Linked DNA regions of Struthio camelus. The protein of the gene in region 1 purifies or fractionates together with the protein of each later gene. This does not show direct contact. Links are inferred from orthologs where the notes say so. Each region holds a gene or a part of one and is shown in the gene's direction. Other genes may lie near its edges.

Region 1 (7,397 bases):
CGGCTCGCGCAGCCCCGGTGGCACCCACGGGTGCCCGGCCGCGCGCCCCCTGCCCGACCGCGGGCCCTGCGCTCCTCTCTCTCTCCGCAGGGACCCCTGCAGCGGCGAGCGGCCGGCCGCGCCGCCCGGAGCCAGCCGCATGGCGGGTAAGGGGCGCCCCGCCAGCCTCCCCCCCCGTCCCCGCGCCCGCCGTCGCCCTGCCCCGCGGAGGGCGAGCGAGGGGCGGGCGCCCCAAAAGCCCGCGTCCCCGCCGGCGCACACCCCGGAGCAGGGCGGCGGGGGGGGGGCGGCGCGTGCAGCGGCTCCTCTGACGGCCGCCCGCCTCGCTCCCCGCCAGCGTCCCCGGGCGATGCCCCGCCGGGGGCCGCGGGCGAGCGCGACGAGGCCGCCGAGCCGCCGCCGGCCGCTGGCCCCCCGCTCGGCCCCGGCCCGCCGCGCGGCCCCTCGGCGCACAGCTCTCTCCTCCGCGACCTGGCGACGGGCCCCCCCGCGCAGACGCAGACTTCGCTGCGGGACTTCGAGCAGGTCAGCCGCGTGCCGCCCGGCTCGTCCCCGCCGCCCAGGAGGCGAGGGCGGCTCCCCTCCCGCTCCCTTCCTCGCCGCGGGGTGGCCGGGGACCCCCGGGGGGGCCGGGGAGGGGACGGCCGCGCTCCCTCCCGCCGCCGGCTGCCGCGCGCCCGGGTTGGGGGGGGGGGGCCGCCCCGGGGGGCTCGGGTTTCACCGCTCGCCTGTCCCCTCTCCGCCAGGGATTCCTCAAATAGCTCCCGGAGAGAGAGGGGGGGAAAAAAAAAAAGGGAAGCGGCGGGGCGGCTGCGGCCACCCGGCGGGAGCTGGGAGCTGGGAGCAGGCAGGGCGGGCGCCGGGCGGCCGCGTCCCCAGAGCCTCGTCCCGCCGGGCCGGGCCGGGGGCGCCGGGCGAGGGGGGCGGGCGGGGATGCCCCCCCCCATGGAGCGCCCGCCATGGCTAACGGCTACCGCACGCTCTCGCAGCACCTCAACGACCTGAAAAAGGAGAATTTCAGCCTCAAGCTGCGCATCTATTTCCTGGAGGAGCGCGTGCAGCAGAAGGGCGAGGGCAGCCGGGACGAGGTGTACCGGCGGGTGAGCGGGCCGGCGGGCACGGCGGGTTGTCCCTGTGCCGGGAGGGGCACGGGGTGCCGGAGCGGGTCGGGGCGCCGGGGAGGGCGTCGGGGTGCAGCGGCAGAGCCGGGGTGTGGACGGGAAGCGGGGAGCGAGCATGCCGGCGGTGGGCGTCTCACGTCCTGCTTTGGGGTGCTGTGAGCCGTCTCGTGGGACTTCCACAGCCCCCTTGCTTTCTTTGACCGGAGAGGGAAGAGCGATGGGAAAGCCAGACGCGGACCCGCCGGCAGCGAAACGCCCTGTCGGCTCCTGCTGTAGCTCCCGTGGGGAAGGCACTGACGTTGGGGCTGGGCCGGTTGCCCCGTGCCGGCGCCGAGCACGGGCCTCCCGGGCCCTCTGGCCGCCTGGGCTTCTCGAACGCTCCCTGGCTCGGGGAGGAGAAGCGCGGCGGCGCCGAAATGGGGCTGCCGGCCTGTGCCGCGGGCAGCAGGGAGCCGAGCTGATAAATAACCCCAGGTGCTAGGAGAGCCGTCCGGCAGTGGCGGGGGGGGGGCGTGTGGCCGAGGGCACAGTTGCCCTCTCCGTAGCCGCAGGGCTGCGGAGGGGCGCGGGGCAGGCGGGCGCCGGGGCTGGGCGCCGGGTACGGGCAGACAGCTGGAGCGGGTACATCCCGTCCCGGCGCCTGCCAAAGCTGCGCGGGGCAGGCTAAAATAGCACCCGCGCCGCCGGGCTCGGCGGCGCGGCGCCAGCAGCCAGAGCCAGCTGGAGCAACAGCCCGAAAAGCCGGAGCAGCCGCGGCGGCTCCCACCCTCCCCGCGGCGCTGCGGGCCAGGGCAGCGGCTCCTGGGTCCCCGGCGCGGCGTGGGGCTGCCCTGCAGAGCACCCCGGTGCCATGCTCACCGCCCCCGGCCTCCCCTGCAGAACATCGAGCTGAAGGTGGAGGTGGAGAGCCTGAAACGGGAGCTCCAGGAGAAGCAGCAGGCCCTGGATAAGACATGGTAGGTGGGGCTGGCCGAGGCTCGCGCGGGGACGTGCGGGGTCCGCAGCGCCGGTGGCGCTTGCAGATGGGCACTAGGGACACCAGGTGTCGTGGCGCTGGGCGGTCAGTCCCCAGAGCGAGCCAGGGCTGCGGGCAGCGGTGGGGATTGGCAAAGGGGCCATGTGTCCTGCTGGGAGGGCAGGGCGGCCCGCGGGGCTCCTCTTACATGCCCGCTGCAGCGTAACCCGGCACGGCTGTTGGCGAGCCAAAAATAAAGGGCAGCACCTGTTTGCTGAGGGAGGGCGAGCGCTGCGCTCCGGGGGCCGCGGCGCAGGTACCTCGCTGTCCGCACAGCAGGGCTCTGCTGGGCACCGGGCGGCTGGGGGCATTTCCCTCCTTTTGGAGAGGTGCAGAGACAGCTTTGGTGTTGCAAAACATGCCACGTGCTGCCTAAGCTCCAAGCGGGACCTAACGACGCCAGATGAGTCAGTGTCCCAGGACTGTAGCTTTCCGGGTTTAAAATACACCATGCCTGGGTGCTCTTGCAAGAAAAGCAGCCGGTGCCCACTGGCGGGCTGGGGTAGGGGTGGGCAGGCTGGAGATGCTGGAGCAGCTGGGGCGGCTCGGCTCTCCCATCCCAGGCGGTTTGGGGTTGGGGCTTTTGCAAGCCTGGTGTGCCCCGCGGGAAGAGCAGAGCCCTGGCTGGTGGGGACGGGCATGCAGGGCCCAGGGCTTTGCATGAACCCCATGCTGGGTCCCGCTTGACCGGTCCCCGCGGTGCAGGTCCCTTCCCGAGGTCTCCCGTCCCTCTCCCAGAGAAGGGACGGTGCGGGGCTGGGGAGCCCCTGGCACAGCGGGGGCCATGCCGTGCCATGCCGTGCCTTGCAGGGTGGCCGCGGAGAACCAGACGAACCGCAGCGAGGCAGCGCTCCGGCAGCAGTACGAGGAGAGGCAGCGGGAGTCGGAGCACGTCTACGAGCTCCTGGAGAACAAGATCCAGCTCCTGCAGGAGGTGAGCGCCGGACGGCCGGGCGCGCGGCTGGCCGCCGGCACCCCCTCGTCGGAGGACGACGAGGGCTGGGAGGGGACCGGGGACGTCCCAGCGGCGGGGCAGGGGAGCCGCGGTCCCTCCGGCCTCACTTCCCGCTACCCTGCAGGAAGCTAGGCTGGCCAGGAGCGAGGCGGAGAAGGCCACGGCGCTGGCCAAAGCCGAGACGGAGCGGTGCCAGGAGCTGGCCGCGAAGCTGAAGGAGGCGGCGAGGAGGAAGGAGGAAAGCGGGCAAGCGGCTGACAGCAGCGCTCTGGCCCACAAGGACAGGTAGGTGGCCCAGGCCCCCCCACCCTGCGTGGCCAGCCCGTGCCCCCCGGCACCCCGGCGCTGCGCGGGGCCGGCCTCGCGCCTGAGCCTGCCCCGCCGTTGCCTTCCCTCGCAGGAGGATCGAGGAGCTGAGCCGGGAGCTGGCGGCCAGCAACCAGCTCGTGGAGCTGCTGTCGGCCGAGCGGCGCGACCCGCGGCGGCGGCCGGAGGGGCCGGCGGCCGCCCAGGCGCAGGTGGGTGGGCCGGCAGGGCGGCGGGCTCCCCCTTACTGCCCCCGTCCCCTTCGGGGGCTGCTTCGCCGCCTGCCCCGGCCTCCCCGCGGCCACGAGGCGGCAGCAGCCCGGCCCTCGAGCGCGCCCGGGGCAGGGCAGCCCGCCCGCAGGGTAAAACCCGGGTGTGAACACACCCGACGGCAGCAGCGCGCCCGGGGCGGGGGGGGGAGCCAGGGCCCCCAGGGGTCACGGCCATCCCCGCCGGCCGCGGGAGCTCCGGGACGGCACGACCCGGCCGGGGGTGCGGGGCAGGGCCCCGGCCTCGGGGCTGGCGCCGGCCGTGGGGCCGCGACGTGGGGCAACCCCGGCGCTGGGCCCACCCGACGGGTGCTGGGGCGGGGGGGCGGGGGGGAGGAAGGCTACTGCGCATGCGGGCCCGCCTGGCCGGGGCGACTACAAATCCCGGCAGGCGCCGCGGCCGCCGCGCACGCGCGGAGCTGCCGCCCGCCGCCATCTTGAAATCTGAGCCACAAGCCGGGCGCCGCCGCCGTGGCAGGAGCATCGTCGGCGAGGCGGAGGCGGGAGCGGGAGTGGCGGGGGCCGTAGGGCCGGGACGAGGGGGGCTGCGAGGAGACGGGGGGGGAGCCCCGGGGCGAGGGGGCAGGTCGCGGTAAGGGGGGCCCGCGAGGAGCGGGGCAAAATCCGGGGTGAGGGGCCTGGCCGAGGCGAGGGGGCCCGTGAGGAGCAGGGGGAGCCCTGGGCTGAGGGGGGCCGTGAGGAAGGAGAGGGGGCATCCCCGGAGAGGGGCTGGGCTGGGCTGGGGGTGTTGTAGAAGGGCAAGTTCCTGCAGTGCGAGGAGTCCCTGGGAGTCCCAGGGTGTGACCCCAGGCGGGGGGAGCTGGGGTGAGGTGTGTTAGGGGCTCGTGGCCTGGGCGATGCGCTGAGGGAGCGGTGGAGGCCTGGGGAAGGTCTCCTGAGAACCCCCAGGAGTAGTTGGGGGTGCTGGTCAGGAGGGAAGATGAAGGAAACCTGCCGGATTTGCGCCCGGGAGCTGTGCGGCAACCAGCGGCGATGGATCTTCCACACCACGGCCAAGCTCAACCTGCAGGTGCTGCTCTCCCACGTCCTGGGCAGGGAGCTGTGCCGGGATGGCAAAGCCGAGTTCGCTTGCAGCAAGTGTGCCTTCATGCTGGACCGCATCTACAGGTTCGACACGGTCATCGCCCGCATCGAAGCCCTCTCCATCGAGCGCCTGCAGAAGCTGCTGCTGGAGAAGGACCGCCTCAAGTTCTGCATTGCAAGCATGTACCGGAGGAACAATGATGACTCTGGCCCAGATGACAGAACTGGGGATGGGACCGTGGACCTTTCTAACCTGCCCGATGTTCGGTATGCTGCCCTCCTTCAGGAGGACTTTGCTTATTCTGGGTACGAATGCTGGACGGATCATGAAGAGCACAGCCTGGAACCACACAGCTGCCACGCTTCAGAGGGAGCGAGTAACCGCCCGCGGCGCTGCCGTGGCTGTGCCACGCTGCGAGTGGCCGATGCTGACTATGAAGCGATTTGCAAAGTGCCGCGGAAGGTGGCCAGAAGTATCTCCTGCGGGCCGTCCAGCCGGTGGTCAGCAAGCATGGGCAATGAAGAATCATCTGTGTGTGACACTGCAGAGTCATCTGGTGCCAGAGGGCCAGTGGATGGGGAGAGCATGGAGGAAGGCACGCCTGCGTCCTCCATTGAGTCGCTGGACACAACTGTGGAGGCTAGCCCTCCGCAGCAGAAAGACGAAGATGCAGATAAGGGGGTGAAAGGGAGCGGGAAATGTGACGATTTTGCAGAGGACCGCATGACCCCGAACTCTTCGCTGAGTGGGAATAGGCTGGAGTTGGCCCTCAGCTTGATCAAGGCTTTAGACTACAAACCCATTCATAGTCCCAGAGGCAGCAGACTACCTATTCCTGTGAAATCCAGCTTGCCACCTCCCAAACCCAGCCGTGACTTGGCAGATGGAAGTGCTCCTGCTGGCTTAGTGTATGCTGGTTCTGGTTTCCTGAATGCAGACAGGAAATCTCTTTCCAGAGCCCATTTGGGTCTTTCCTTGGAGATCTCTGACCTGCAAGAGCTGTGGGACGATCTCTGTGAGGATTATATGCCGCTTCGGGTACAGGTAGAGGTCATTGTGTAGCCTTTCAATTGAGCAGCGTCCCTGCAGCTCGACTCTGAGTCCATTAGGAATTCCTCCGCGTTGAGATAATACGGATAGCCACGTGTCACTGAACCACGGGCTAAGAATAGGCAGCTCAGTCCTTTTTAGGTGCGGTCCCTCTCCCTGTCGCTCTCCTGTGATATGGTTCCTTGTTGTTTTCTGGGAAATTAATCTTTCCGTCAGTCATATCTCCCTGTGAATGCAGGGTTCTGGCTGGGTCTGAGGTCTTTGCATGCTTTCTCATTTTCTGCTGAGAAAATGCCAGTTTCACTTCAGCTGTCTCTTTAAACAGTTGATTTGGATTTTACCCACAACTAAAGGGAGCGTTTTAAGCTGCTGGGCATGTGTTTTCCCGCAAACGTTTTTTCTTTGTGCCTTGGTAATGGCACAGTGTCAGGCATGTCTGTCTTCAGAGCCTTGCCTCAAACCAGCCCAACAGGCAGGTCTGTGCAGTGATCTGTGGTGTCTGCCCTAAGGAGAAGGTGTTCTCTTTGCAGGTGGATTTGTGCTAGTGGATTACTTTAGGGCTGGTATTCTAGATAATTGGTTTTATTTTTTTGATCCTTTAAAAAGATTCGTCAATTAATGGCAGTTATTGCTGAGAGGCGGTGAGCTCTCTTGCTTTCACAAGATGCCTTGGTACTGTTATCTGCTTAGATTTTAGTCCTGCTTAGATTTTTGTAGTGCTGGATTGTCTCTGCTCTGCTGGCTTTAATAAAATCTTCATTAGTATGCAGTCAAAAAGCTGAACTTGTTAACTCCTCTGTCACTTCCCTTAATGAAGGTCTCAGTCAGCTTTAATTCAGGAATATCCATGTCAGCCTAATTGCATTCACATTAGCAGCCTTAGTGCTGCCTAATACTCTAGGTAGCCTCAGGGAGTAGAAAAAATGCTTGTTTATTACTATGGCAGCTGTAGCTGTACCGAGCCTCACTGCCTATTCGGTGAGTGCTGCTTACTCTCCCATCTGCTCGGGTGTTTTCCAGAGCTGTGCGCTCCTTTCATAATAGTCTGCTCGAGAAATGACATTACGGAGGAATGGAAAACAGCAACATTAATTTTCACGCGGTGCACTAAGGCCTTGCGTTTGTAGCCTGCGATTGAAGATGTGAAGCAGGACATAGATGCTGCTGCTGTATTCTGTCAATTGCTGCTCATTTTTGCTCCTAGGGACGTATTTTCAGCATGAAAATAGAGTCTCTCTTAACAGAGCAGACAGTGATCAGTGTGACACATGAGTAGCTTGGCTTTGTGTCATGCCTTGCCATCCTTGTATCGTGCAATTGCTTAGAGGAGTTTCTTTGAACTCTGGCCTCTGCAGTACAGCAGTCCTGGCAGGGAATTCATCCTGCTGAATTCTTTACTTCCCATTTCTTGCCATCGCAACTACCCATCAGCAACTGGTGACCTCAGCGCTGGGTTTGGCAGAAGGGGAAAGCGCTTGAGTGTTCGGATGGTTTTAGTGGAAAGTCAGATGCTGCTAGTCAGCTAAATGGTTCTTGTGTAAATGATTTTTTTTTTTTTTTCTTTTCTGTTTCTGTATAAACATTACTCTTTCTAGAAGCCAGGTGCTGCTCTCCAGTGATTTGTATGCTTGAATGC
Region 2 (6,933 bases), about 13 Mb from region 1:
GCTTTTTAATATATTTTAAAATATTGCCAGGACTTAGGTGATAGGGTTAAGTGGAAAGAGAAGTTGGAGTTTCATTATTGCCTGTAGAACAGAAATTTTAGAAATCGGTTAGAAACACTGAAACAACTAACTTTTTCAGTGCAAGTAAAACACGTCTTAAGTTGACTGCCTAGCTAGTTTGGATTGACTGTGATTGGAGCAGTTGGGAGGGATGCAGCAGACATGCTGAACCGCGGCTCGATGGTGCTGCGTTGCGTGCCGGCCCCAGGAGCTCCCCGGTGCCCCGGGCTGCGTGGGGCTGTGCTGGGTGAGCAGAGGGGTGCTTCTCAGCACTGCCTGGCTGCTGAACAGTGGGGCCGACCTGGACCGCAACTGTCTGAGGCAGCTGGCTAGTTTTAATGTCTTCAAGCATAAACCATTTTAGATAATAGTATAACAGAGTTTTATCTTTCTGTTAAAGCTGGCCTAAAATAAAGTGTTTTTTTTTTTTTTTTTTTTTGGTGACAAAGTGAAAAGTTTCCTAGGGACGGGACAGTTCCCTAGAGGCAGAGACTGTCGCTAGAGGAAAAAAAGAAAAAAATTGTTCTATGACAGTAAATGTATCCTAATCAGGCCTGATGTGATATGGACACATCTGTGCAGCTGAGCTGACCCATACCTGATCCAGCTTTTGTAGCACTGAGTTGGTAGGACATGGACGACTTCTGGTCTGGATGAAGTACGACTGTTTTGCTCTTTCAGGAGAGCGTACTGCCTTAACCACAGTAGCATAGTGATAACACTACACAGCTTTCCATCAAAGCTGCCTCCATTTCTTCTTCCCGCATGAAGCATGAGTAAGATGAGATTAAGGCTGCTTGCATGTGTCTATGTAAACATTTAGTAGTGTTTAAAGTTTCACAAACTGTTCTAAGGGAAAAGCATTACTGGCTGGCAAATGGAAATCCTTTTACAAGCTGAGCCCCAGAATTTTGTCATTGATAGAGCATCGTCAGTCACTGAGCTCTGTGTGTGTGTGTGTAACATACTGCCTATGTGGAGCTTGTGTGGTCCGTGCCTCATATGTAACAGAGAAAATACTTGGTGCCAATAAATTAATACTATGCTGATTTGTAAGATTAGTATGTCAGTAAGATGAATGATTAGATGAAAGGAAATAGGAGGGTCCACCTTTAAACAGTAGAGGAATGAGGGAGATGGATTACTTCACAGAAAATCAGTGTGGTAGTGTACTTTGTTGTCCTGGACAGTGCTGGTCTGCTTGTGTGTACTAGGAAAGTGTGTTACTGTCTGTGTATCGATATTTGAATAACAAACTATGGATGTGACCAATACTTTCTTTTTGTGTTTTGCGTGTGTGGAGCAGACCTTGTTCTGTGACAGTGTTCACTGGCAGTAGTTTGTAAAATTTTGGCAATTAAAGGTAAATCCAGGTTCTCTCTTTGGATATCTTCTAACATTCCTTTTTTGATGCCTGTTTTTACCTAAACCCGTTCAGTTCTTGGATCTCCAAGGATCGATATTTCTGCTTCCTGTTTTTTGGGACCTAGTTCAAGTATCCAGGTGTCTAGGTTAGGCACTTCATTGCATTCACAGCTCTTAATTTTGGTGAGCAGGGTTGTTCTCTGAAAATACCCAGATCTCTCCATTGACTATAAAGGCCACATAGACTTTAACTTACATAAACTGAATTTTGTGAGTTGCTGTCTTTGGGATCAGGGAGGTGAAATAGTTTAGCTGAAGTGTAATAAAAAATAAGACTACAGAACTGTAAAGGAAAGGGTGGTGGGAAGGGAGAGAGAAAAGTTGAACATACCTTCATGGCATGGGGCTTTGTTTATTGGGGGCAACAGCCAAGGTCAGAGAAGATGCTGAAGTCTCTTGGCAAGCTTCCCTGGATGCTCAGCGACTTGCACGTGCTGCGGGGCAAGGCCAGAGAATCCAGAGGGGCTCTTCTCGCCCCTGAGCGTTTTAGAGGGATGAGGCAATGAGCAGGGAAATAGGCATACTGTTTTTGTCTAGCTCTTTTTTATACTACTATATATAGAGTGGCACAGCATTACTCTAGCATAAAGTGTGTGGTTATATGTGGTGTATAATATATCCACAGGGCCTGTTTGTGCCCCTTATAAGGCAGGCTAATCCCCGGAGCGTTCCCTAGTTCCATGTTTCTGGCAGCAGGAGCACCGAACCTGCTGGGGTTTCCTGGAAGTCAGCATTGATCCTGGGACAAAGGAAGTAAAAGCCAGAGAGGCTGAAGGTAGAAAAAGAGCTGCAACGGGCTGAGACCCAGGGGAGGCTGTGGTGCCTTAGCCTGCTCCCACCAAGTAGCCTGGTCACCGGCTAGCTAGAGGGTGCTCAGCCAGATTTGCAAAATGTGGCATAAAAATGTGAGCGTTCAGGCAGTTGGTCCCAGCCTTTTGGACAGGCGCTGCAGAAAGAATTGCATCGCCAGAGTGCATCTAGAGCCTGAAAGCACAGGGCTTCTCCGCGCTGGGTACAGGTTCTGGGAACTTAAACTGTGGTGCGCCTGCTGGAGGGGGCTGGTGGCAGCAGCTCTGTAAGTGACCGTGGTGAGGAACATGGTCCAATCTGTACAGCCTGGCCCTCAGCTTTATTGTTTTATCATGAGCATAGGCATTTTTGTCATCATAGTGGGTTTTTTTTTCCCCTTGAAAACCAGAAGCTGTTATGAAATAGTTATGTAATGTCCAAGGATGGATATCTGATGACATTTGGAAACTACTCAGGGAGAAGTGTGGTGGTGAAAAGTAAAAGGTATATCTTTAATACGTGTTGACTGTAAGACAGAAGACAGATTGAGACAAGTTATTTAAATCTTAAAGATTTAGGACTATTCTTAAGTAAGTAACCACACTTTATGTGCTGGCGATATACTGGGAAACCTGCCCAATGTATGTGTTCCCATTTTCACAGAAATGAATTTCTTGTATTGTCCATCTTAAGCACGTAAAATTATATGATTTAAAAATAATATAATCTAAGCTAAATACTGTTTTCAGTTTATTTCCTCTATATTCTGAGCCATGATGAATGATGCTTTCTAGATTTATTCTGCAGTTAGAAGGATCCAAACATCTTGCAAAAAAAAAAAAAAAAAGTTTCTTACATAATTCCACAAGTCTTGCAGTTGGAGCTTCTACACCAGCAATGTCGTGAGCTGGGGACCACGACTTTGTGACTCTCCTTCCAGCTGCCTTTGGAGCTGGGAGAATGAATATGCTGTTAAAGGAGGATCTGCCAATGCTGTTCATTCTGATAGTTTATCCCTGAAAAAATTAAATTCTCTTGGTTCATTCCCAGAGTAAGCAGAACTCAGTATGAATAAATATAGTGTAGTCTTGTTTTTGTGTACTTTAGAATTATTGAGCTTCTTTTAGTCTGATTTTTCTCAACATAAACGAGGAGAATAATTTTTTTTTGCAATAACAAAATAATAGTTTCTTCAGTAGATTTTTTGCAAGTAACCTCCTTGCTTAGAAAGTGGTTCTATTGAAAACGAGAGCTTACTAATGATTATATTACAGCTGGTTAAGTTTGTTGTGATTACGGTAGTACTCCATCTTACCAAGGAGAGCTGCGGCGTAGTTACTTTCCTTTTTTCATGTGTGGCTGTGGTAAACTAGAAAAAAAATCTGGCTTCTGATCTTTATTTCTGAACAAGTTTCTGAACAAGTTTCTTACATTTTAATGTAAAATGTATATTTTAATATCAAATGTGAGTAAATATTAAACTGTAAAAGCACATGCTAGAGCAGTTTTTGCAGCTTTTTAAATAACTATTTTCAATTGACGTGAAAAGAGGCTTTTGACAGTATAAAACAGTACATTATAGAGCTTTTCTTAACAGGAAGTAGAAGAGAGTAGTGGTTAGAAAACACTGCCTACAGGAAGTTTGATGCATGCATTGCTCTTAGTGTCCCTGAGTTCAGCTCCTGTTAGATATTTTCTCTTTTGCTTTGCTGAGTTGCCAGAGCGCATAGATGGCAGCTCCGAAGGAGATCCCTTGCAACCAGTGCACAGGGACAGCCACAGCACTACAGAGACTGGAAGGTTTTGCTAATCGACTCTTTCATAGGCATTCGAAGGGTGGTGCACACGAACAGAGAGCGGCTCTGGAGAATGAGAGCCATCATTTCTCTGAACTTGCTGTCCTATGGGACAAATCAAGTAAGTAGGGTTTTTGTTTGTTTTTATAGATATTTTCTCTTCAGTTTGCACAGCAAGGGAAGAACTTGCATATTTGTAGTTGGATACAGATACTGAGCTGTGATGCATTCCAGAGGCAATTTTACAATTTAATACCGAAAGGTGTTAATTTGAAGAAAAACCTACTGCATCATGCAGGGGGAAGAGTGGTACCATTTCAGAGGACTGGGTGGCTGGTGGGAGAATTTATTCCTGGCCCCTTCTTCTCTGTTAAAGTACTGTTGACTTGTTTAGACAAGGTTTCTCCTCACCCGCAAATAATTTTTTGCTTATAAATTATTTCCTTTCTTTTCAAATTAAATCTGCTGGTTCAGCAGAAACAGAAAACCCATTAAAAAGTGTAGTGTTTAAACTTTGGAATGGGCAGACATTGCACAGATTAGACTTCTAATTACAGGACTCTTCATCATTTGTCACTTTATTTTAACATGTGCTATTTCAACATGTGCTGTATAGTGGTAAACAACATAATAGTTAAAACCAATTTTATGTATTAATTTAGTATGGGAATGCTGAATATCATTAGCTTTAATTTCTTAGTTAGCAAACCATTTATGATATGTGTTGCTTAAAACCTTTCATGATTGCATTTTGCGTAAGAGAAATGAGAGGTTTCAGAAATACCACAGTGTAAGTAAATTGTCATTTGATCTTCGTTTTCTTCTTTTAAAGCAATGCATTATTTTGCAAGTCAGTTATTGTCTTTGTGGTTAAATATTCATTTTAAAATGTTACAATATGGTAATTGATGATAATTTTGTGCTGGATTTCAGTTTCATTGATGGATTTGGAATAGCACAATTATTTCTGTTGGAAATAGGCCTTATTGGCCTATTAAACATCACCCTGTTACCATGAAGAAAGACAGTGTTAATCTTTCTCACTACTTTCAATTTGAAGTATTGTACCAGTGGGGACTGAATCTGTTCTCGGAGGAGATGCAGTAAACATGGAAGCAAAAAGCTGTTAATGCATTGGCCTAAAACAGATTAAATCTAGGTCTTCCAAATGAGATGGAAAAGGATAGACTAGTCTTGTTGGGAAGATAAATGATGAAAGTGCATGAATTGTGAGCCTCCATTCCTCCAAAATATCTTCAAGTCAGTAAAAATAGACACATGCTTGTGTTTATATAGAAGCTCTTTTTTTATATAAGTAGCTATTTGAGAAAAAATGACAACTGAAGCATCTTTGTTTATTTAATACAAAGAAAAAATGGTGTTGACCTACTAACATTTACAAATTGTGACCCGTTTGTGTACAAGTCTCTACTATTTTTTTTCCCCTCTATTTAAAGCAAGCTTCCTTGTATGACATGTTTGACAAGGAAATGGAATGTCGTGTCTTTTGGTGATAAACATGGTGAAAATGGTTGTTCTATAAATGCTATTTTAAGTAATGATTAAGCACAGTGGTTGTATATAATATTTTCCTAAGCAAAGTTAGTGAGCTGATAGCTGAATTTTGGCTGATTATGTAAGTTTGGGTTTAGGATGAAATTCTGAATACTTACCCTGAATATTTGCTCTCAATGCTTTGCTCTCAATTATCTCAATGATAGTATTTATTCAGAAAAATAACGAGTAGTTTAGGTACACATGGACTAAGTCTGCCTTTCTAGATTCTCATTTCACTACCACTTGAGCTCAAGAAATGATAGAGAAGATAGGGAGTATAGGGACAGTAGCGTTCTTGTGTACTGCTGACTTGCAGAAAAAGACAGCATCTGTGAAAATTATTTTCTTGCCTAATAGTTAAATATCATAGAATTGCATCAGGTCATAGAATTCAGGCCATAGATCAAATTCATAGGAAGTTTAACAAGCAAGCACTGTTTTAAAAACATCATACTGTTGTCTTGTAAGGATATCTGAATATTCACAACTATTCTGCCTGTATCACTGCAACTTATAAAATGTTCTTGTTAGGTTTTAGGTGAGGCTAAATAGCAGAAGTTTAGTGTGGATTGCTTCTGAAATTTGAGACAAAAGCGTTGTTTAATTCCCAAAAGAAGTTTGGGAAATGACTTCTCGGATTTTATTTATTTGTTTTTTTAGTTTTGAATTGGAATTAATTTGAAAAGAAAGTTAATATATTAACACCTTTGGCTATAATGAAATGTTGTAATAGATCTGTTTCTATGCATGTCCTCTACAGAGGAGTTACTGCTGAAGCTACAGCTTTGTTGAAGAGGAAGGAACTGCTTCTTGCTGGGTGGACTTTATTTGTTTTAAATGTTGTCCGTCATCCCGGGTTGTGGATTAGCTTAACTTGTCATGTGATTTGAAGGCTGTAGAGTTTTTCAGTGGTTGATTTTGAAATTGATTTCATGTCTTTGCTTCCTTGTTTTCATATGTAAAACAGGTTGTTTCTAACATGCCTTGGATTCCTGGTAATGTATGAAACCAAGCGAATTTATTTTGAAAAATGTTTTAGAATCTGATGGGTCAGAAATGCCTCAGGATGCCACAGGCCTTCGAATTTATTTAGAAAACTTGACTGTGTGTGTTAATGAAGAGCTTAAACTAGTAATCGGATCAATTGTGCTGTACAGCCAGCAGATGAAAGGGATACTGTGTTAGTCATCAGAGCTGTACATTTCTTTCTTAGTTTTACATGTCTTGAATATGATCAGCTGCAAGTATCTGGGGCCTGTGTTTTGATTTTTGTTTCATTTTGTTAGTTGCTTGTTGGTCTTTGGAA
Region 3 (7,221 bases), on another chromosome or scaffold:
AGCATGCAATTCAAATACATCTTCCGGAGTCCAACAGACAATTCCTAGCGCTTTATCTGCATTGAATGAAACATAATCTTTGCCACTTAGAACACAACAAAGCTAGATTTCTTCATACTTCTCTTGAATTGCTAACACATAAAACAGAAACACAGCCCATTTTCACAGTGAAGTTCTCTTCTGAAACAGTTAGTATATTAACCAAGAGTATACAAATCTGCTTCAAAGCTAATAGGCTCTTTTCCTTCCAAACACACTTCTTCACATCTGTTCATTCTCGCTCTCTCCACTTCAATAGCAATAGTATTTGGTAAAGCTCTCCAAACTGTAGCCATTGCAGAAAGACTGTATTTACTGATGTTTGGGTAAGAACTAATAAGAGACCTGGTTGTGTCTCTCTTCCTCCAATTCCAAAAAAAATCAAGTCAATATTTATATACTCACCGGTGAAATAAAACCCCTCTCCCTGGAGGGGAGGGAAATGAAATGAAGTGATTGAAATGGATTTCACGGAAGGAGATTTTGTTTGCTTGCTTGCTTGTTTTGAGAGCTGGGGAGATTATTTTTTTTTTCTTTTTTGTAATTTAAATGCAATTGTATTGCACAGAGTGCATCAAAGTGACTTCACAGTGGGAGCTTCCATTGAGGACCAAAAGCTCAGGAGCCTTTGCATGCTGCTTGACCCATCGCTGTATTTAACAGAAGCTAGGCTCAGGTACGTAAGGGGCTGGAGTGTCTCCATTCCCACAAAAAGCTGGCTCAGGATGCACCCGGCTCAGCCCTGATTCAGGTCGAACCCTCAGAGCGGAAGCGGTTAACATTCCAGCAAGTTAGATACAGAATAAACAATTTAATCAGCATTGTTCTAGCTCTCCCAAAAGCTCATCCAAAGTCTGTTAAGGGCCAACGGAAAGATTTGCATTGACTTCTCAGGCCTTTAGAACATGCTCTGATTTTAGTAAGACTTTTTGCTTGTATAAACCCATGGCAAACTTCAGCCTTTCTGCTATACTGTGCCTTTGAAAAGAAAAGGGCTATGGATAAGAGATTTGCTTTTTGCCTGTGACAAATTGCCTTGCTGGTCTTCCCCCTCCACCTACAATGAGGCTCTGGGGCTTGTCTGTTTTGTCTGATTCATAAACCCTTTCATTAAAATAATAATCGAGCATTAGGTACCCTGATCCCACCACCAACATGTCTGTTGAAGGTAGTTTCCCTCTGCCAAAGGCAAATCCTACCAAAGCACACACCTGGGCTGACTCTCATACAGCTCTGCAATGCTTGAATTTTCAGTGTGAGCTACTTCCATGGCAGCCAACTGCAGTATTATGTCTGCAGCATGATTAGCATCTCCGCACTGTGCTTAAGGATGGAACAAGAAGCCTTTATTTATAACTTTCCTATCAAAAGCATCTATTGTTCAACCCTACCTAAGAAAGTCACTATTACTGTGGTATTAAATTGTTTTCAGAAAGGACTTTGAAGCCTTTTGCACAAGATAGCTAAAGTTTGTATAGCAAAAAGGGTCACTGGGATGTATTTTACCCTAGGCTGCTGAAAAATCGTTTCCTGGGCTAGCTACTAGAGCTGGCAATGTATCAGCTCTCCTGATGTGGTTTAGGAGCGTTTAAAGGACCAAACTTTTTCTTGACGTAAATTGACGGAGTACCACTGATTGCAGCCAAGCATCCCCCATTCGCCACGTAGAGAACTTGCAGCAGATTTGTAAGTACTTGCAAATAGAAATAAAAACATAAACACTGAATGCTCCATAGATTCCTCTCTGCCCTTAAAAAAAAAAAAGTGGGGAGGGATTGAATATTAGCAAAGTAAATCTGACTTTACATTACAAAGCACATCAGGAAGATAAACACAGTAAGTTTCCTGTTATTTGTTAAATTGTCCCAGTCCAACTATGGCAACTTCCTCCTACTTCTAAATAACATGCGGACAGAGGCTTGCATGAACAGCTTCAAACTAGCGAGCAAAATCCACCAGGCAAAATCCACCGTTTCCACTGCTCAAAGTTACAGCAGAAGAACTGCAATGAACTTCAGTGAGTTCAGATGAATCTTCTATTCATGTAACAGCACTGAGAATTTGGCCCTTACATATTTCAGAAATGTAACCAAGGCAGTAAGTCCTCATTTGACCAAATCAAAATGTTTTAAAGCCTGTTTCCTATCTTCCCAAAGTCTCTGGGAGTGAAGAGGAGCCTTGTCATTGACTAGGGTTAGATCAAGGTCAAGTTTTACACTGCAAAACCAAGAGAGAGATAGTGTTTACTCTCCAATTTCTCAGAAAACCGTCAAATCCCTCTTCATATGGAACATTTCATTTATGCGTCATTTACAAACTTTTCCACTGGCAAACTCACCACACTTAAAGATTTTCCTCATACAAAAAGTATATTTTGTCAATACCATCTCACTTCATATTAAGCCTGAACACCCATCCTTCTTCTCTTATATTGTTCTTCTCTAGGATTTATTGTGAGCTAACATTAAGCTTTTTTTTTTTTTTTTTTGCTTGTTTATACCTAAAAGGCAGCTTTTCATCTCACTCTATTTCTCAGTGTCTCATAGGAAACTCTTCTCCAAATGGCTCTGTCTCCTTTCCCACCAAATCCCAGCTTTACCACACAAGCCGGTCCAAAATTCACGGCAAGACTTGCGTTAATCAGCAGAACAGAATAAGCGAGACTATTTAGTACTTTACATCTTCAAAGACTTGAATACGCAACAACTCTTTGTTAGTGTTTTCCTCGGTGGATGTGCCCCAGGCAGGGAGTGGATACAGTGCTCTCTCTTTAATGCTGATATTGCGCACCTGATAGCCGCGCGGTCCAACGGCTAATGCATCCTCAGTAGGTAACTGATGTGGGTAACGTGGCTCTCATTTCAGCCTTCCCTAAAATAACAAACAGAAAACACCCAAACCAGCCATCCCCATCAAACACACGGCAAACAGGTCACGAGTACAAAAAACGCTTTGATGCACCTACCGTGCCTTTCATCAAAGCATCCTGAAAGCACTTTGCAATTACTAATGTGATCCCTAGTTCATCACTCACCCACACAGTTTTCCCTCATTTACCAGCTGGATATGCAGAAAGCCCCAAAGACTAAAAGGCGCAATTCTGAAAGAGATGCCTGAGCCGTCACAGGTTCCCCAGAAATCCCTGAGCGCTTGCGCATCCCACCCCACCTCGGAAAAAAACAGGCCATTAGTAACTTGTCCCGTCCCAATTACGGTGAGTAGCAAAGCAAGGAAAAGAGCCCAGGACTCCTGCTCTGCAGCCCCACAAGTCCACCGAGCTTCAGCTCAACACGCATTGCACTCGGTAAGTATTGCAAAACACACGCCTGGCCTCGGTACACGGTCAGCAAAGGGACCTTGTGGAGAAAATAAACAGTTTCTCTGTACTCTTCACCCCTTCATCTTGACCTGTTTTTTTTTTTTTCTCTCTCCTGACATGCCATTATTAAACAACAGGAACAAACTAGTTTCTGTGTAAAACCTTCCCCAAAGTAGTTGGAAGATAGCAAGAAATGCCAAGGTTTCTATTTTCCTCCCCCCTCCTTTTTTTTTTTTTTAAGGGGAAATAACACGGAATTAAAATATTTGTAAACAGCACTGATCAGCATTTTATTTTATAACTTTTTTAAAAAAATTTTTATTTTAAATCCAACAAAGACCCCCCTCTCCCCCTAGGAATACTAGGAGGGGACTATGCTGAAAATTATAGATTCCAGAGTTTGCAAGAGAACCACAAAAGCTTAATTATAGTTATTGACATACCAAACACCCACTGAAGGCTTAAGCTTCCCTTGGCCAGAAATAACCACACAAAGCGAAGGTAAAAAAAAAACGACATCAAACCACCTCAGCTAGGGACAGCTTATTAAAGCACCGAAGACATGCCTTGCTTGCCTCCCCGTATCTCAGCCTAAAGGAGATGGTCGGGAGGGAACAGTTGCTGTCATCCCACAGGCAGACTTTCAAGCCGGTTTGTTTAGGGCGGGTTTTATCCCCCATCAGGTAGCTTTGCACAAGTTACCCCTTTCCAAACGCCTCGCTCCAGGACTGTGGCTTTAACAAAGGCCCAGAAGAGCTCCTGACTGCTGAGAGAACCAGCGTTCATCGTGACCGTGCAGTGCATCCTCGCTACTCCCCGACTGCCTGCGTCCCACCCTCCCCAGGGACCGGCAGCAGCGATTGCGGAGGGAGGTGGCTGCAGGAGAGGCTCTGCAGGTAGAGGTGCGACACCCATGGGAATTAGCAAATGTCTGGACTGCTCCAACCCAGCCCTTCCCTGGCCAGGCCTGTTTGCTCTCGGGATAGGGGCTGGCAAGGCCTGAAGGAACGGCGCTTGTGGGCAGCTCGCTGCCCTCTGGGCAGACTCCACGCCGCCGCCAGCTGCAGTCAAATCAAAGCGTGTGTGTATAAAGCGATGCTAAAAGGGTTAGAGAAGGTGGAAGCATCAGCTGGGGTGTTCAGAGGGAACCTATGGGAGGCTAGCGAACATCAGCCCTTCCGGAGGGACCCTAGTCTTAGGTCGCTGCCACGTGGCATCAGCTGAGCATGCTGCTAAGGGGGCCCAGCCTGCTCCACAGCTATCAGCAACTTACGGCCCGTCCTGCTGCGCTTCTCACGAGCAGCCTCACAAAAACTGCAAACACCATCTTGAGACAGCCTCGGAAAGGCAGGGAAGATCCAGATTAGCAAGGCAAACTAGACACAAGCAGCAGTGAGGGCTTGGTCACTGCCAGAGAGAAAGGCTGATTCAGAGCTGGGGAGACATCGCTACTAGAAATGAGCTTGCCATCGAGTATTTTCACTCACTTTCATTTCATCAGCCTGGAAAGCCCTCATCTTTCCTCCCTTGCCTCCCAACCATGGGATGGCATCTGAAGGGATGGAGATGCCTATTCAAGCTGGGCTACGTTTGCCTAAGCCTTACAAGCTCATCACCTTCTACTGCAGTCACGTAGCCATGTTTGTGCAGTGGCTCTCAGTGCTCTTTACAAACAACAGGCTGGACCACAAAGCCCTCACTCAACTTAGAGAGAGTGTATTCATGCAAAAACCCACAAGGAAGCTTCTAGGACCAGCAGGAGTAAATAACTGACCGCGGCAACACGTGTTTCACATTCACGTCAAGTACCTTGCACCTCTCCCATGTGATTGTTGAAGACTGGGGACAAAGGCCAAGGGCCAGACACGCTCCACCCCAGGTGGCGACTATGCTGCACTCAAGTGATGTAGCTACAAGGACAGCAAGTTCAGGTGGACCAAAGTCAGCTCTGGTGCTCTCAGCCCCCAGAAAGTCCCCACACTTATTTTTTCCATTGAGTGACATTGCCCTTGCCCTGTACACTGTACAGCACAGATGTCATCTATGCAGCTTCATCACTGGTCCCTTCCCAACAGCCTGCGGGTTTCGACACCATATCTGTTTCATGCAGCAGTGCTCACATGACAGGCTTTGATGAGAGCTGTTCCCCAGCCAATCCACACAGCAGACAAAAACCTTTTGTAAGAAGGGAGAGGTCTGAATTAACCCTTTTTTGTGGCAAACTTTATGGCTCGTACATCCAGGAAATTTGTCACTTAACAGCAGGGCCCAGTGCCCAGCATCTATCCTTGCTTACATGCTATTTAACTGGTGGCACATCTGTAACCTGAGACACAACCAAGAGGCTGCAGTAAAACTTCTTTAGAAGGGATACAGCCAACGCTGGGGCAAACCAGAGATCTTCCAAGGAGAAGCGTGGTGCCAACAAACACCTAGCTCTGTGGCTATAGCAATACTTGGTACTCTAATTCACAACAGGGATGAAAGAACTCTCCCTAAATCGAGAACAGAGAAAGAAAATAGAATGAAAGTCAAACCTGAATGGACTGGTTATTGAAAACAGCAATACCATACTGATTTGTCTTTCATCTTCTATGCACCAGCTTTAGTCCACTAAATCACTACAGAATTCACTGGCATTATTCCTAATTTTACAGTGATTTGGGAGAAGGGGGGGACAAAGGCAAGCAAACAAAATCTAACTGCCTTCACTGTTTTGTTTTTCTGGTTTTTGTTCAGCCAAACAAAGAGGAGGTTCATGTCCAAGCTGACTGTAGAGCCCACAGAATGCTTTTGCTCAGATGATCTCTTTAAAAACAGTTTGCAAATTTGGCACCCAGCATCTTCAGCAACTACCATTTGCGAGTACTTTCTTATCTCCATCTGGTCACTATAAAAACTTTGGTGACTTTAGTTACTGTTGCTACAGATTAATCAACTTGCTAAGTCCCTCTAAAAGAGCAGGAAGTCCTCCAAAAACTGATCCCTTGGTCATAAAAAGAACAAAGCCAGGAGTAGATTAATCACGATGTTATTTCCAATGCAAAAGTCCAAGCAGAAAAAGTCTCAGTTTCAATAACAAAGCTCACCCATCTACACCAACATGCTTTCGTTCTTGGTGTCAGAGAAGAACACGCTGAGCAGAAATCCAAGTAATACAGCAAGCTGTATGAGAAGAGCATGCTGGTGGAAATAAGCAGCAGAATACAGACTATGTGAACCACAACCAACCAATACTGCCAGGTTTGGCTGCCTTCCCTGTGTCCGCCAGCGTCTAAGATTTCCCACTGCAGTATGAGCCAGGCAGCAGGACTCCCAGGCATCACGTATGTGTAGCACAGGAGGAGGGCAAGGAAGGGGGAGTCTAGGAGTGCAGCCTCAAGCTACTATTGTTTTTAGTCAGGAGTAAAATACCAGGTGGTTGAACACAGGCACGCCAAAGATATTATGAACTGAGCTCACCTAAACCTGACAGACACTAAAGGAAAGGCAAGATCACAGGATGTGAAGGAATCTGGTGATGAACAGACATGGCTATCTCCATATGCCTGGGAGAAGTTTGCAAGCCTGTCTCAGTGATGCAAATTGGGATTGGACAGACTGAAAACAACCACCTGAAAGAAAGGCCAATTTTAACAGTGTCACCTGTCCTAAAGCGCCAAAGCCAGAAGAGCAGCTTTGGGAAGCAGCCTGGACATGATGCTGATGCAACGCCCAAGGACCAGCATTAGTCCTTGCAAAAATATCCTTTAAAAATACAACCTCTAAAAAAATCAGAAGCCAGAAGGCAAAGGAAAGGAACCCCAAATTTATTATCTTTGTCACATCCTGGTGAGTGTGAATTTAGGCTGTCGGGAAGTTGG

The links.
Region 2: the proteins of PDE4DIP (region 1) and PRKACB purify together in Homo sapiens (affinity purification with mass spectrometry; 5 studies listed by BioGRID and IntAct, counting the BioPlex papers as one, with this or other methods). This does not show direct contact. The link is inferred for Struthio camelus from reciprocal best matches to the Homo sapiens genes PDE4DIP and PRKACB.
Region 3: the proteins of PDE4DIP (region 1) and CDK5RAP2 purify together in Homo sapiens (affinity purification with mass spectrometry; 3 studies listed by BioGRID and IntAct, counting the BioPlex papers as one, with this or other methods). This does not show direct contact. The link is inferred for Struthio camelus from reciprocal best matches to the Homo sapiens genes PDE4DIP and CDK5RAP2.

What each region holds. Positions count from the first base shown.
Region 1 is NC_090949.1:9,276,624-9,284,020, reverse strand, and holds the start of PDE4DIP (myomegalin), read left to right. Parts: upstream 1-4,381; 5' UTR 4,382-4,606; coding exon 4,607-5,755; intron 5,756-7,397. UniProt on the Homo sapiens protein: Functions as an anchor sequestering components of the cAMP-dependent pathway to Golgi and/or centrosomes.
Region 2 is NC_090949.1:21,796,106-21,803,038, reverse strand, and holds the start of PRKACB (cAMP-dependent protein kinase catalytic subunit beta), read left to right. Parts: upstream 1-3,923; 5' UTR 3,924-4,004; coding exon 4,005-4,191; intron 4,192-6,933. UniProt on the Homo sapiens protein: Mediates cAMP-dependent signaling triggered by receptor binding to GPCRs.
Region 3 is NC_090961.1:7,999,795-8,007,015, forward strand, and holds the start of CDK5RAP2 (CDK5 regulatory subunit-associated protein 2), read left to right. Parts: upstream 1-4,211; 5' UTR 4,212-4,217; intron 4,218-7,221. UniProt on the Homo sapiens protein: Potential regulator of CDK5 activity via its interaction with CDK5R1. Negative regulator of centriole disengagement (licensing) which maintains centriole engagement and cohesion. Involved in regulation of mitotic spindle orientation.